Linked DNA regions of Caenorhabditis elegans. The protein of the gene in region 1 purifies or fractionates together with the protein of each later gene. This does not show direct contact. Each region holds a gene or a part of one and is shown in the gene's direction. Other genes may lie near its edges.

Region 1 (6,309 bases):
CCTCATCTCCATTTTTTGAAATGAAAATCTAATAATTTAACCAACATTATGAAACCCTGCAAAGGCAAAATTGTTGTTTTCAGAATGAAGAAAAGGCCAATAATAAAAAAAATGTTGCTAAAGAAGTTCAACTAGAAACGAAAAATCAGAATCGAGATGATCAACGTCGTGAAACACTGGAAAACGAAAATCAAAAACTGCAAACGCAGGTAATTGTTTTTTTTTTCAATTTAATATTTTTGATACTATACTTGTGAGTATAATTTTGAAAAATTTAGGACAACGAGGAATATCGAGTTATTCCGAGGAAAAATAGAAATGGGATTTCCGACAGAAAACTAAAGAAAAAACCACCAACTATATCGATAAAATTGATTTAATATTTTTTAAAAATTTATTTGTTTGTTTCGGAGTTCGTTCAACTAATTAGTTCAATTTTCTGAAATTGATTGTACACAATTTTATAAATTTGAAAGTTGTTGAAAAGTTTGAATTTTTATTTCAAAATTGTTTGAATTCAGTGAAATGTTATAATCAAAACAATTAATTTGTCAATGTCAATGTAATTTGACAAATGTCAATGTCGGACATCAATAGGTATATTTCAATATTACTAAATAATAGCCAAAATGATGAATTCTAGCATCTTTTACAGGAAAAATTAGTTATTTAATTAACAGCCAACAATTCTTGTGTATTTTCGCTGAACTTCTAAAAATTACAAAACAATTAAAACCAAATTTAAAATAATGTATTTATTTGAATATCTGGAAAAATTCACTTTGAACAGCTTGAACTACATCTTCAAATCGAACTCATGTGCCAATAATCAAAAAACTTGGTAAGCTCCTCAAATGTTAAATAACTTCAAAAATTGTTCTTATCAATTGACTTTTTTTTCTTTTTGAACATTTTTTTGAATGTGGGAAACGATTATTTATCGATTCTTCCATGCAACTGTCTCTTTTTATAAATCATTGCACTTTTTCCCTCTTTCGAGGCCCTTGCTAATACTAAAACGTCCACTAACTTTTCATTGTTGGCACCCAGTCTATGCTGGAAAAATTCACTTTGAACAGCTTGAACTACATAACATTTTTTTTTTTTGAAGATGTAGCATTTGTAAATCATTTTTTATCCCGAATCCTCTGTTTTAAAATCCCCACACTTTGCGAATGGTCGTCCCTCAGCACATTTGCAACAGCCATACATATTTCGCAACCCTCTTCTCAAAAATTGTTACTACCACGTCGACATATATTTTGAGAGATTATTTTATAAATATATACTTTCTGATATTTCTGAAGACATCTTCAAACATTTTCAAAACTAAATATTTACATATGTTACTTTATGTTCGCGTGTATTCCAAAACAATGTTGTCATTTTACCTACAGAAATTGCAGACATTTGTTCTTAAAGGTGGACTACTCCAGTGGCGAAACGACTAAAAACCATTCCTATGGGACTGAAATGATCAAATATCATAATGAAACGTTAAGAAAAAGTTATTTCTAGTCAAAATAGCGGTGAAATCTCAGTGTTCAATTATTTCTTTAGGAAGTCGTCGATAAATTTTTTTGTCTTTCTTTTTCCTCAAAAATCTAATTTATTAAAATAAATTTTCATTTTCAGGTAACAATTGGATAATGTGGAAATTACTTCAGGATCTTTTAGAAACAATTTTTCCACCATCAGAACCCACAAGGTAAGCTTGAATAGTTTTTGTTAAAACCCAATTTTTATTTTTTAGAGAAGTACAATCCAGCTATAACAATTCATATTATAGAAGAGATTACGAAGAAGAAGAAGACGACGTTCAACAATATCATACATCGCACATAGCATCTATAAAATCTTCACAAACAACGTCATATAGATCATCGGTTGTTCAAGTATGTAATCACAAATTCAATTTTTTTGATGCATTTTTAAAAAAATTAGTCTAGCACACCTACAACCGAAAATTAGTTTTTTTGTCAAAGTTGTTCGAAACGACCAAAAATTAGGTTTATTCTTATCGAATTTTCATTTTGATTTTAAAAAAGTGTTTTCTAATATACTATTATATTTTGTACAAATTCAGGAAATTTTCAGAACAGTTCAGTCTACAGCCGAACTTTCTCGGAAAAGGAACAGAATGCGTTCAGCAAGTTTTATGTTCAGCCTCCAGAAACAAATTCGAGACAGAAAAAGAAGACAGAAATCGAATCTGAAGTGGAAAAGGAATTGAAAAGTTATAAGCATTCTGATGCCATCAATTTTGCTGCAAGAACGTTCAGCTGGGGACCAAATTTCAATTCTCCAAAACCCCGTCAAGTATTCAGGGACATCTCAACATACAGTTACGAGAGAGGAATTCGTGCTTATTTTCGTGTCTTATCCGCAGAGGATAATAAATATATTCTGATTGCCTGTCACGCCAATTTGCATGGATTACATCGCGGAGATCTTCGATTTGTAGAAGTCAACGATCGGACAATTACGAAAGGTTCCGAGAACTACAGTGTAATTGGAATGTTGTTTCCTGGAGATGTGGTCGCTGTTACAGAACTTTCCAAGAAATCGAACGCTCCTTCAATTGCTCCAACTATTAAAAACGTCAGTCCGCACGATCCATGTATTTGGGAGGTGAACAAAATGGTTGTTCTGCAAAGAAAAAGCATTATCAGAGTTAACTTCGCTATGTTGAATAATGGAGCAGCAATAGTGGAAGGTCATACGGAAGCTATGGATGTGATTGAAATTGACAGAAAGAAGCTGAAAACGGATATGATGTACTATGGCACAGCTTTCATCCCGGAGAAATCTAAAGTTAAGTTTTCCGAAGGCTTTCATCGACAACACTGGGAAGATCTGATGGCTTTAACTTCCAAGTTACCATCATATTCGAATTCTCTTGGTACAATCTATACTCATTCGCTATGTGAAAGACAAACGAACATGTTCAAAATTGGAGTGGATGCATTCAACTCATCAATCTATTCGTTAAATACCGAAGCGTCTGTATTAGTTGCTCAGAAGTGTGTCATTATGGGTTCCTCAGCTGCTCAAACGGTTTCAAATGGAAGATTTGATGGAAGAAATTTTCAAATGACAAACATCCACCGCAAAAGTCAAAATTTTCGATTTTCCATTGATAATCCTTCAAAACAACCAACTGAAGGACGTTGGAATCCCAATCAGAAAATAGAAATTAATGGACAAGGAGAAAGTTTGAAAACTTCTATTGAAACAGTCGTTCTTGGAAATAATAGGAAATCACTTGAAATTACTGCAACGATTCCCAAAAACAACAACAAACTTCTCAACTTTCAAACTGGCACTTGGATTGTAAGTCAATCACAATTCCTAGAAACTCCTAGGTTGGACTGTGAATTTCTTCAAAAAATGAGCCCGTCGTCAAATGGTAGACGTATTGTAACTGCACTTTATGGTGGATCTCCAATCAATTCAACGGGAAACATCAATTGGAATAAACAATTTGAATTCCCAAGTAAAATACCAATTGGGCTCAATCAATACCAAAATCAATATGTATCCATGATTCTCTCTGGTGTTCCTTTGATTCTCGGAAACTCCCCATTTGGTTGTGGAAAGTCGATGACAATTGTCACAGCTGCAGTTGAGCTTCAAAAAAAGTATATGCGTTCTGAATCGTTCAACAAACAACAGTTGTTGGTAACTCAAAGTAATAATGCAGGAGTAAATTTAATTGAATTTGCATTGAAACTACACAAATGCGACCATATTCGTTTTCTTCGATATGTTAGCGAGTCCAATTGGAATTCTCTTCCGGATTCTTCAAAGACTGAACTTGACATGCCCATTCTGATGGAGGACGAATTTTTTGAGTGGGCCACAAACACAGAAATTCAGAAAGAAAACGGTGAAAATCTAACAAGGGAGATGAAGAAGGCTATCGTCGAACAATCAACTCAAAAATACCATTGCAAAGGAATACTTGTTGGAGAAGCAAAACGAATTTATGAAAACATTCTTAAAAATCAACGAGAACATAAGCCTTCCCAAGCTATCTTGAAAGAAGCATTCTTCGCTCTTTATGCACCTGATATTATCGTTTCAACTGCGGATTCTATCCACAATTTATTGGAAAATAATGTTCTTCGAGATGTATCAAATATTCAATTCGACGAAGCAAGCCAAGTTCCAGAACATACCTTGATTAGCCTACTTCATAAATTTCCTAATGCAAGTTTTGGCCTTGTTGGAGACATCAATCAGTTACCAGCTTACTGTGATGATGATTTGCAAGGTCTTCTCAAAGATTATGGAATTGGTAAAACAATGGCAAGAGCTTCTCGTGATAAAATGTTTCCACAATCTATCCTTCGACTTGTTTATCGATGTCATCCAACTACCACAAAAATTCTGAGTGATCTATTTTACAATGGTCAGTTGATTTCTGGAGTAGAAAAGAATCAGAGAGACGAATTCATGAGAATGCGCCCTGATATTTGGCCAAATTCATCTTTCCCAATTCTTGTTCTCAATCACGAGAAAGACGGATATCGTATGGGCACTTCGGTGGCAAATAATTCTGAAAAAGATCAAGTTGTGAGAATTGTTAGTTTATTAACTAAGAAAGTCAAAGGATATGGTCTCTCAGAATCTGATATTGGTATTATTTCATTCTATAAAGCCCAAACATCTTTACTCGCGGATGCATTAAAGAAAACTGATGTAAAATGTGGAACAATTGATGCATTTCAAGGAACTGAACGAGAAGTGATGATTGTTTGCTGCACTAATAAGAATCCATCCCTTTTTATGCAAGAAGGAACTCGTGTCAACGTGGCAATGTCTAGAGCTCGTCAAGCGACTATTATCATTGGAAATATTGCAAAACTGAAGAAAGCAAAACATTGGGATACAATTGCTCAGAGTGCACAGATCAACAAATGCTCAATGGAAGTAAGTAATTTTAATAATACATATAATACTATTGTGTTTCTTGAAACTTTATTCAAAAAAAGTTTTCTGAAGAATGAGTATCCAGAATAGGAGAATATTTTATATAACTATAACCAAAATACGTAGTTGACGTCTCCAGAATAGAAAGAATTAGTTTAAAAAAAATTTCTCTTAAAATTCTAAAATTTGATGATTGCAAAAATGTATTTTTAAGGTTTCAACATTTGGTGGCAGTGAACAAAAACAACCACAAATGGTTCAGGTATGTTCGAATGTGAGATATTCAAATAATTTTTTAATTTTCAGATTAAATGTACAGCAAAAAAATCGAATAAAATTCAAAAAAATCAAAATGAAGGAAAACATATCTCAATTTCTCAGGTTTGTTTTTTTTTTAACATTTCCTTCTATAACTATAAATATTTTAGACTGTAAAAACCAAAGAGGACACCGAACAAAGTTCAAAACCTCAACAAAGAAGAAGAAGACGGAATAGGAACAATATTGGGCAAAATTCCACAAATGGCCGAAAAGTAGAGTTGAGATAAAATATTACTTTTTTTAAATTATTTTCTTCAGAATTCGGCTACAAGTTCAACTATAGTCCAATGAAACAGAAATTAACGAGCAGAATGTTTAATAACAAACAAACCAGTATTTTATAATTTGACAATAATTTCCATTTTACAAATTCCGAGTCATCATATTTTGTGGATCTTGAAAAAACGAAACCGGTCTTTTGATTTGAAATTACTCTGCTTTATTTTTATTTTGTCAGAGTATGTGGCACCTTACCATTTTTAATTTTCCATTGTTTTTCTGGCATAAAGATAAAAATAATCAATAAAACTAACAGAGAAACATCTTCCCAAAAAACAATACACTGTTATAAATAATGGAAAACAAAATAAAAAGTTTCAGTTAGTACAATAACTCCTAAATTTGACACCTTGCACGTTGCAACAAATTACAATTTAATTTCAAAAATGTCGATATTTGAACACATTACTGTGTATTGTCTAGAGAAAAGTTCATTTTCAAAATCGTCATTTTCTGTCTATTTTTCTGTAAAAACTTCATGATGCTCCTTCGCAATTCATCACCAATAGAGGTATTTTCAACCTACAATTACAGTTAAAGTGTGTGTATAACTGATATGCATAATAAATATCTTTCCGGTTTTCTATTATTATGTTCAAGTGAAAAGTGAATTTGGTGTCTTTTGGAAACTACACCTATAAGTGGGTATAGAAGCAATAACAACGTAAAATGTAACAAGGGGAAAATATCAGCGGGATTTTTATGAGAAAGTACGACAAGTTTTGATTGGCAGGGGAGCGACTGAAGCAAAACGCGGAGTGTATACAAATCAGC
Region 2 (7,959 bases), on another chromosome or scaffold:
TTTCGGGAACAAAAACTTTTTGCCTTCCGAGCAACTAAAAAAAGTTTATTTGTGTAGTTTTTGACTCGCGAATTCAATTTTTCCAATCCCCATTCCCAACATAATAATTATTTGTTTCAGTATCCCAACTCCTCTGGAAATGACGTCACACTCGTCTTCTCAACTATATCAACAATATCGTGTGAAAGTCGAAGGAGATGTGACTCTAACCTGCCTCTAAGCCTGTGTCTCTGCTTCTCTTCTCTCTCTTTCTCTCGTTGATAATTACGTTGCTACGGGTTACTTTATTTACATGTTCGCTGTCAAGTCATATGATTGCATTTTTTGTTTTAGATAATATTATTATAATGCTTTAATAAATTCATCTCATTGTTTATTCATTAAATTTTTTTGAATTTCGTTAACTGACCGGTTGAAAGTCCGGAAATTAATTTATTATGATAATGAGTTTTTTTTTAAAGAAAACATGAGATAAATTGGTGATTTGCAAGAAAAAATCAATTCTTAATCAAAACCTTGCAAATTCTTCTCATTTTTGATTACTGGTAAAAACTAGAATTTCTCGTTTCCATCAGTTTATTCAATGATTCTAAAAAATTTACTGGAAAAACTGTATTCATGAGATAAAGTTGAGCGTTTTTTACAGAAAATGATCCAAAATCAAAAAAAGTCTATAAATTACAGTACCCCTTTAAAGGCGCACGCCACTTTTGTAAAACGTCTCCTGCAACGATTAATTGTTTTCGTAGAAAATGTGTGCGCCTTTAAGCAATTACGGTAGTTTTTCACAATTTTTGTATGTTTTTATTTTATTTTCTAATGAAAAAGTACCCATGTTTACCGATGAGGAGTGCGCGAATTTACTAAATAATAATTTATTAAATATAAATTCACTCAAATTTAAATTTTGATTTAAAAAAATTAAAATCTGAAGAAATTCCAGAATTTAGAAATTATTTTAAATAGTAAAATTCTATTTTTCGTTAAAAATAATCTTTTCTAGGCTATAATGCACTTTCCTTCTCTATCCTATCACCATCCTGTCTCTCATTTCTATACACTCTCTCACCCGGTTTCCCTTTTTCTCTCTGCGTCTCCGATTTCCCAACACTCTTGCTGGTTGGTGGCTGTATCACGCTTTGAAGCTTCGAATACTCTAATTTTCAGCATAAATTTCAAAATCAACATGAGAAACTTATCGATTTTTGTTTTGATCACAGTTTCAGCTTTAATTTTAACTATTTTCTCAATTTTTTCACCGACAAAAATAGTTTTGCATTAAAATTTAGTGTTTTTCATGATTCTCCCACCAATTTTCTAATTTTTTCACATTTTTAAAAAACATTCCAGTAGCTTTTCAAACTCGTGGACCCCCTTTGAAGAATTAAAGTTTATAGCTGGAAAGCTTGATTTTGGATCATTTTCGCGAGTAGAAAACATTCAAATCGCTATTTTATCGTTTATTTAAAGCATTTTAGGTGATTTTTGATTTATTCACTGGTGAAAACTTCCGGAAAACGAGAATTTGTAGTTTCTAATTTATAATTAAATGATAAAAATTGGTTTTTGCTTAAAATCCTGGAAAATTGATATAAATTTGCGACTTTAGCATTAAATAAAGAAAAAAACGAAAATCCTCTAAAACAGGATTTCAGTAGAAATCCTGCAATTTTTTCATAGGTATTTACAATTTTCTGCTATATTTATCGATTTTAGAACATTTCCGCTCATTCGTTTTGTATTTAACATTAAAAACGACAATTTGTCTACAACCTTGCCAAAAATTCAAAATCTTCTCCTCCGGGAGTATTTGAGCCACGTAAATCTACAGAATGTCGAATTAGAAGTATAAATTTCGGAATCCTGAACCTTTTTTTTGAAATATCGGCTTTAAATACTCGATTTCCTCTATTTTTAAATATAAAATTCCATTAATTTTCAGAATCCTCAAACCGAATGGAAGTTGAACATGAACAACCACCGGAACATGAAGCCGGTAGTGTAGATGCTTCAAATCGACCATCAACTTCTTCTGAAAATCCAAATCCAGAAGAACCGTGTCCACAACCACCTTCTGATCCAATAATCGATGATAATGATGATCATTGTCAGTTTTTGAAGTTTTTAATTGATAAAATCCATATTTTTCCAGTAATGTGTCGAGTATGTCGTGGAAATGAGGGAAGTCTCTATTATCCGTGCTTATGTACAGGAAGTATTAAATATGTACATCAAGAATGTCTAGTAGAGTGGCTCAAGTACAGGTAATGGTGATTTTCAATTAAAAATAGCTGAAAAAATGCCTAAATTTAGCCAAAATCTGAGATTTCACCAATTTACAGCGGCTGGAATTTGATTTTTATTCAATTTTCCAATTTTGTTTGCCAATCGGCAAGAAAACGGATAAAAACCACTCAAAAATAAGTAGAAATTTAAAATAATTAAATTCTGGTCGCTATGACACGAAAAAGGTGACAAAAGTTTTAGATTTTGGCAAGTTTTCGGGATTTTTCTTTCGAAATTGAAAAAAAAGCAACTTTCGGGTAGTTTCTTAGATTTTTAGAAGAAATTTGAAAATTTAAGATCTAAAAAATAATTTTAAAAAACCAAAAAAATTGCTTCTAAAATGTAAAATTGAAGATTTCAAGCCAACTAGTTTTTGTTAAATGTTTTTGGTTTTGAAATTCTGAAAAAGTCTGTTAATGAAATTCAGCCTTTTCTAGTCAGTTTGAATTTTTTAAAATAAATTTTGATAATTTTGCCTGAAAAATACGATATCTGGAATATTAACGGCCGATTCTCAAATTGTGTGCGCCTGTAAAGAGTGCTGTAGCTCCTGATTTCTTGTTTCTCTCTAAAAATCAAACAAAAATTTAAAAATGTTAATTTTTTCAGTAAAAAAGAAGTATGTGAACTGTGTAATCACAAATATTCATTCCAACCAATTTATCGACAAGATATGCCAAAAGCTCTTCCAATTCTTGAAATATTACGTGGAGTTTTGATATCAGGAGCAATAATGGTCAGAACATGGATTATATATACAATTGTAATGACTACATGGCTTGGAATTGTACCATTAACAGCCGCCCGTATCTATAATTGCATCTTCTATTTATCATTTCATGACATTGTCAATGCACCATTCCAATTGTTCAAAGCTGAACATTTTTTCAATGATATTCTGAAAGGAAGTCTACTACTTCTCGTTTTTGTGTGTACATTCATCTCGCTTGTCTGGCTCCGCGAGCAAATTATTATCGGTGGACCACAACACTTTTTGAATATTGAAGCGGAAGAGAATGAAGGAGAGGATGATGTTGTTAATGAGAATAATGAATCGTCGGATGAATCGGAAGATGATGAAGAAGATGAAGATGATGAGGAGGATGACGACGAGGATGATGAAGAAGAGGAAGAAGATAGTGAATCTGGATATGAAGAGGATCCTGTTCCAGAATTTCGTGAAGAAGGTGAAGCTTATGTGGCTCGGAGGAGAGTACCATTTGAAGAAAGAAGACGTGATATTCTTGAAGCTAGACATGGATTCCGGCCGCAGATGGTACTGTAGATATAGGAATTTTGCAAGACCGCGGCGCGGTTTTTTTTCCTGAAAATATATTGAAAAACGAAAAAACTTCATCTAGGTTGCCTGAAGACCGCTAACTTTGGCGAATTTGAATTGCCGCGCTTTTGCCTCGAAACTCCGCCCATTTTTCCGTGCCGCACTTTTGTTTCTACGAATTCTTCGTCTTTCCTGAAGTTTTCAAGTGAAAAATAAGTGTCTTGTCTACAGGGACATTATTAAATGCTTATTGCTAAATGTTTCACTTGAAAATTTCAGGAAACAAAAATTCTATTTCAGAATTTACCTGCCAGTAATTTCAATAATTAAATTTCGTGTTTCTTTTGTGCTTTCACGGATTTTCTGACTATTTTGGCTTTTTTATTATCAAATTGCTTTTTTTCCTAAAATATGTAAGCCACAAAAAGAGATTTTTTAGAAAAAAAAACATTAGAATAACCTTAAACTGAAAAAAGTTGATAGCTTTGTAAAATTAATTGTTTGGTAAACCGCGCCGCAACCTTGCAAAATTCACAGATTAATTCAAAAATTCACTAATTTTATTCATTATTTTAGCCAAATCTGGGTATATACGATGACATGAGAGATGATGAGAATGAAGTACTCGAAAATGATCATGTACTTCAAAATGTACAAGAAGATCGTATTCCACCACCAATGGAGCCGGAGCCAATAGTTCCACGAGCAGCTGCACGTGCAAATCGACGAATTCGTCGTCAACGAGAAAATGAAGAAGCAGCGGCGGCAGCAGCAGCAGCTCAAGAACAAGGTGGAGCTGGAGATCAAGAAGATAATTGGAGAGAATGGGATCGATTTGGTGATGAACTGACATGGCAGAGATTATTGGGACTTGATGGATCTTTGATTTTCTTGGAACATGTATTCTGGGTTATATCATTGAATACACTTTTTACTGCTACTTTTGGTAAATTTTAATTGGAGTAGCGAGTTTTAAGCGGAATTTTCCCTTTTTTTAACAGTTTTTTTATTTAAAATATCTATAAATTTAGAAAGCGGAGACTAAAAATGATTACCTAAGAAATAGTCAAAAAAAAAGTTTTTTTTGGATGGATTTTTGATATTTTTAATTTGTTTTTTGTTGAAAAAATAACTTTCAAAAAATTTACATTATTCCAAATAAACAAGAAACATTTTTATAAATTGCAATCTCAAAAAAATTTAAAATTTTGAATATTCTTATTTGATTATTGTTTTTATTCTGAAATTAACGGTGAAAAATTGTGAAAAACAAACAAATTAATTAATTAAAAATCAAGTTTTATTTATTTTACACGACTATTTTTGTTAAACGTGCGCCTTTAAAGAGTACTGTAGATAGAAAATTCTTATTTCTAGCGTTGAAAATTCCACAGTAGAAATTACAGTACTCTTTGAAGGCGCACATGTAACGAAAATTGTCTGGTCGATACCGTATACCGGTACCGTATTTTTTGCGTCTAGGTAATAATAATAATTGCAAGTTTTTCAAAAAAGCAAATTAAATACATTTAAAAAGATAATTTATCAATTTTTAAAGAAAAAATTGAAAAATCGAAAAAGGAAATTTTGGAAAAAATCTGAAATTTCCCCAGCTTCAGCAGCTTCAGCTTCAGGCAGCTTTTTTGATTCTTTTAGGATAATTTCTTAAATTTTCCTGCTCAAAAGTTCCAAATTTTCCGCTTAAAAATCGCTAAGAACCGAACAAAATTTATTCAAACTGAATAACTTTTCAGCGTACTTCCCATTTCGCATTGGAAACTGGTTCCTAAGTGTCATCGGACTTCATGGAAAAATTTCATATTTCCCATCAATCGTAGCGATGCTTCTTGGATACATTCAAATAGCCATCATAACCTACGTCATTCACCAAATAATGCTCCAATTCAAAATGAAAATGATGTATCGATTCCTTGGAATAATGTTCCTTATCATTAAAGTCTTCTTGCTGGTATTCTTGGAAATTGGATTTTTCCCTGTAATGTGTGGATGTTGGATGGATGTTTGTACACTTCCATTATTCAATATAACATTATCACAAAGAATTGCAACATTTGCCACAGCTCCATTCATGTCAATATTCCTTCATTGGATGGTTGGAATGGTTTATGTATTTTATTCAGCGTCATTTGTAATACTTCTACGAGAAATTCTGCGTCCTGGAGTACTATGGTTTATGAGAAATCTAAATGATCCCGACTTTAATCCAATTCAAGAAATGATTGATCTACCGTTCACGCGGCATTTCCGAAGACTTGTTGTATCTACAACTCTGTTCTTTTCAACGATTCTTCTCATCTTCTACATTCCTCTCAACATAATCTCATCACTTATTCCATCACTTCTACCCTACAATGTTTCAATGAGCGCAGAGACTCCACTATCAGAAATCTCATTGGAACTACTGATACTTCAAGTAGTGATGCCTGCAATCTTAGAACATGCAAATGGTCGTGGTTTTATCAAGTATGGAGTCAGATTTTGGTGTAAAGTAGTTGGAGCTGCGTTGGATTTGGATCAGTATTTGTTGTCGGATAACAATAACAATAATCAGAACAATAATAATAATAACAATGATCCATTGAGAGCAGGAAATAATCAAGCTGGTGGAGGTCTTGCAGCTGAGCATCAAGCTCTTCTCCTGCTCCGCGAGCCCCGAGCCTACGAGCCATACAATCGACCATCACTATTCGGAGTTCGTGTATCGATTCTTCTTGTTCTAATGTCTTTGACAACAACTCTATCAAGTGTTGTTGTATTCATTGTACCTGCTTCAATTGGACGTTTCATTATTCTAATGGTTTCGGGACAAACGAATGTTCATGAGATGTACACTGTTTCTCTGGGTCTCTATGTTTGTTGGACAATCGGGAAGTTTGGAGCAGTTGTGACGAAGTTTGTGAGAGGAGGACCACACTTGTTCAAGAGAGCTGTTGTTCATTATTCTTACTTGGTACGGTAAATTATTTAATGTCGATTTACGGAGTACCTCGTGTACTCCTCGTGGAGAAGGTGTTGATTGTTTTTTTTACCAAAAAAGCTTGATTTTGAACAGATGTAGCTAATTTTTCTTGAATTTGACAGTCGAATTAGAGATTGGAGGCAATACCGAATCCGCAATTTTTCCGCCAAAAACACGGTACCCGGTCTCGACGATTTTTGTAATTTCGTATGTGACAAAAATTATCGTTTTGAGACCGATTACCATATTTTTAGCCCAAAAATTTACTGTTCTAAATTTCAGAAAAAAAGTGGTTCAGACAAAAACTGTAAAATCTTCTCCTCGTGGAGTACACGAGCTGCGTGAATCGACACGGGCCCATTCAACACAAGGATGCCGGTTTTTGGAAAAAAATTTCAGAAAATTTCCAAATTTTCCATAATTTCTTAATTTACAAAAAAAACCCATCCATTCAAAATTTAAAATTGAAAATTAATAAAAAATTTTCAGGGAATGCGCCTGTTTCTTGTTGCAATTCCAATAATTATCGTCTTGCCACTTTTGATGGGTACTTATTTCCAATTGGTTTTCTTCACTCCAATGCGATTGGGATATCAACAGGTAACACTTTCAGACTGGATTTCTGAAAATTCTGAGAAAAAATTATTAAAAAATTAGCCTAAAATCATAAGTTTTCAAGTCTTTTTGTCTTTTTAAAATGATTTTTACGCCGAAAAAACGTTTAAAATTCATATTTTAATCAATTTCGGCATTATAATCGTTGAAAGCAACGAAAAACAAGACAAAAATACGAAAAAAAGGGGTGGAGAGTTTTCAATTTCAAAAGAAGCATTTTTCTGCGTTTCCATAATAATTTTTTTAAAGTTTCAATTTTCAAAGTTTATGATTTTTCGCTGCAAAAAGTATATAAATATATTCTGGCCACAAAAAAAGAGTAGAAAATCTTCAAATCATTTCAAAAAATCATTTCAGACAGCACTAATGTTCCCATATCAAGACTGGGCAATGGGCGTTGTTCAAATCAAAATCTTCGGTGTAATTGCTGTAATGGGACCCGATTGGTGGCTGAAAACAGAACTCGATCTACTTGTGCAACGTGGAATTGAGAATTTTGCGGCGTTACACGTTTTCGTGAGGATTGTCGTCCCATGTATACTGTATCTATCGACTTTTATCGCTTTTCCGGTTGTTGTGATCAAGTTTTACGCGTTTATTTCAGGTAAAATGGATTCTAGAAGGATTTCAGAATTAATTGGATCCTTTAAATTGAAAAAATCTCAAAAATGGCCATGTGTTGATTTACGCAGCTCGTGTACTCCCCGAGGAGACCCCAAAAAACCTGGATTTCAATCATTTTCACTTTTTTATTGGTTTTTATCAGCTGAAAACCTTATTTAAAAAATTAAATTTAGAT

What was found. Proteins that work in one complex are often made in the same cells at the same time.
Region 2: the proteins of hzl-1 (region 1) and marc-6 fractionate together in Caenorhabditis elegans (co-fractionation; one large-scale study listed by BioGRID). This does not show direct contact.

What each region holds. Positions count from the first base shown.
Region 1 is NC_003283.11:12,834,059-12,840,367, forward strand, and holds hzl-1 (DNA2/NAM7 helicase-like C-terminal domain-containing protein), read left to right. Parts: upstream 1-1,629; 5' UTR 1,630-1,649; coding exon 1,650-1,708; intron 1,709-1,753; coding exon 1,754-1,895; intron 1,896-2,097; coding exon 2,098-4,935; intron 4,936-5,149; coding exon 5,150-5,197; intron 5,198-5,241; coding exon 5,242-5,316; intron 5,317-5,363; coding exon 5,364-5,468; intron 5,469-5,514; coding exon 5,515-5,547; 3' UTR 5,548-5,796; downstream 5,797-6,309.
Region 2 is NC_003279.8:10,797,681-10,805,639, forward strand, and holds the start of marc-6 (RING-type E3 ubiquitin transferase), read left to right. Parts: upstream 1-1,942; 5' UTR 1,943-1,956; coding exon 1,957-2,107; intron 2,108-2,152; coding exon 2,153-2,264; intron 2,265-2,895; coding exon 2,896-3,562; intron 3,563-4,141; coding exon 4,142-4,511; intron 4,512-5,319; coding exon 5,320-6,536; intron 6,537-7,034; coding exon 7,035-7,145; intron 7,146-7,517; coding exon 7,518-7,764; intron 7,765-7,959. Other genes in the region: F55A3.2 (C2H2-type domain-containing protein), read left to right, coding at 121-220.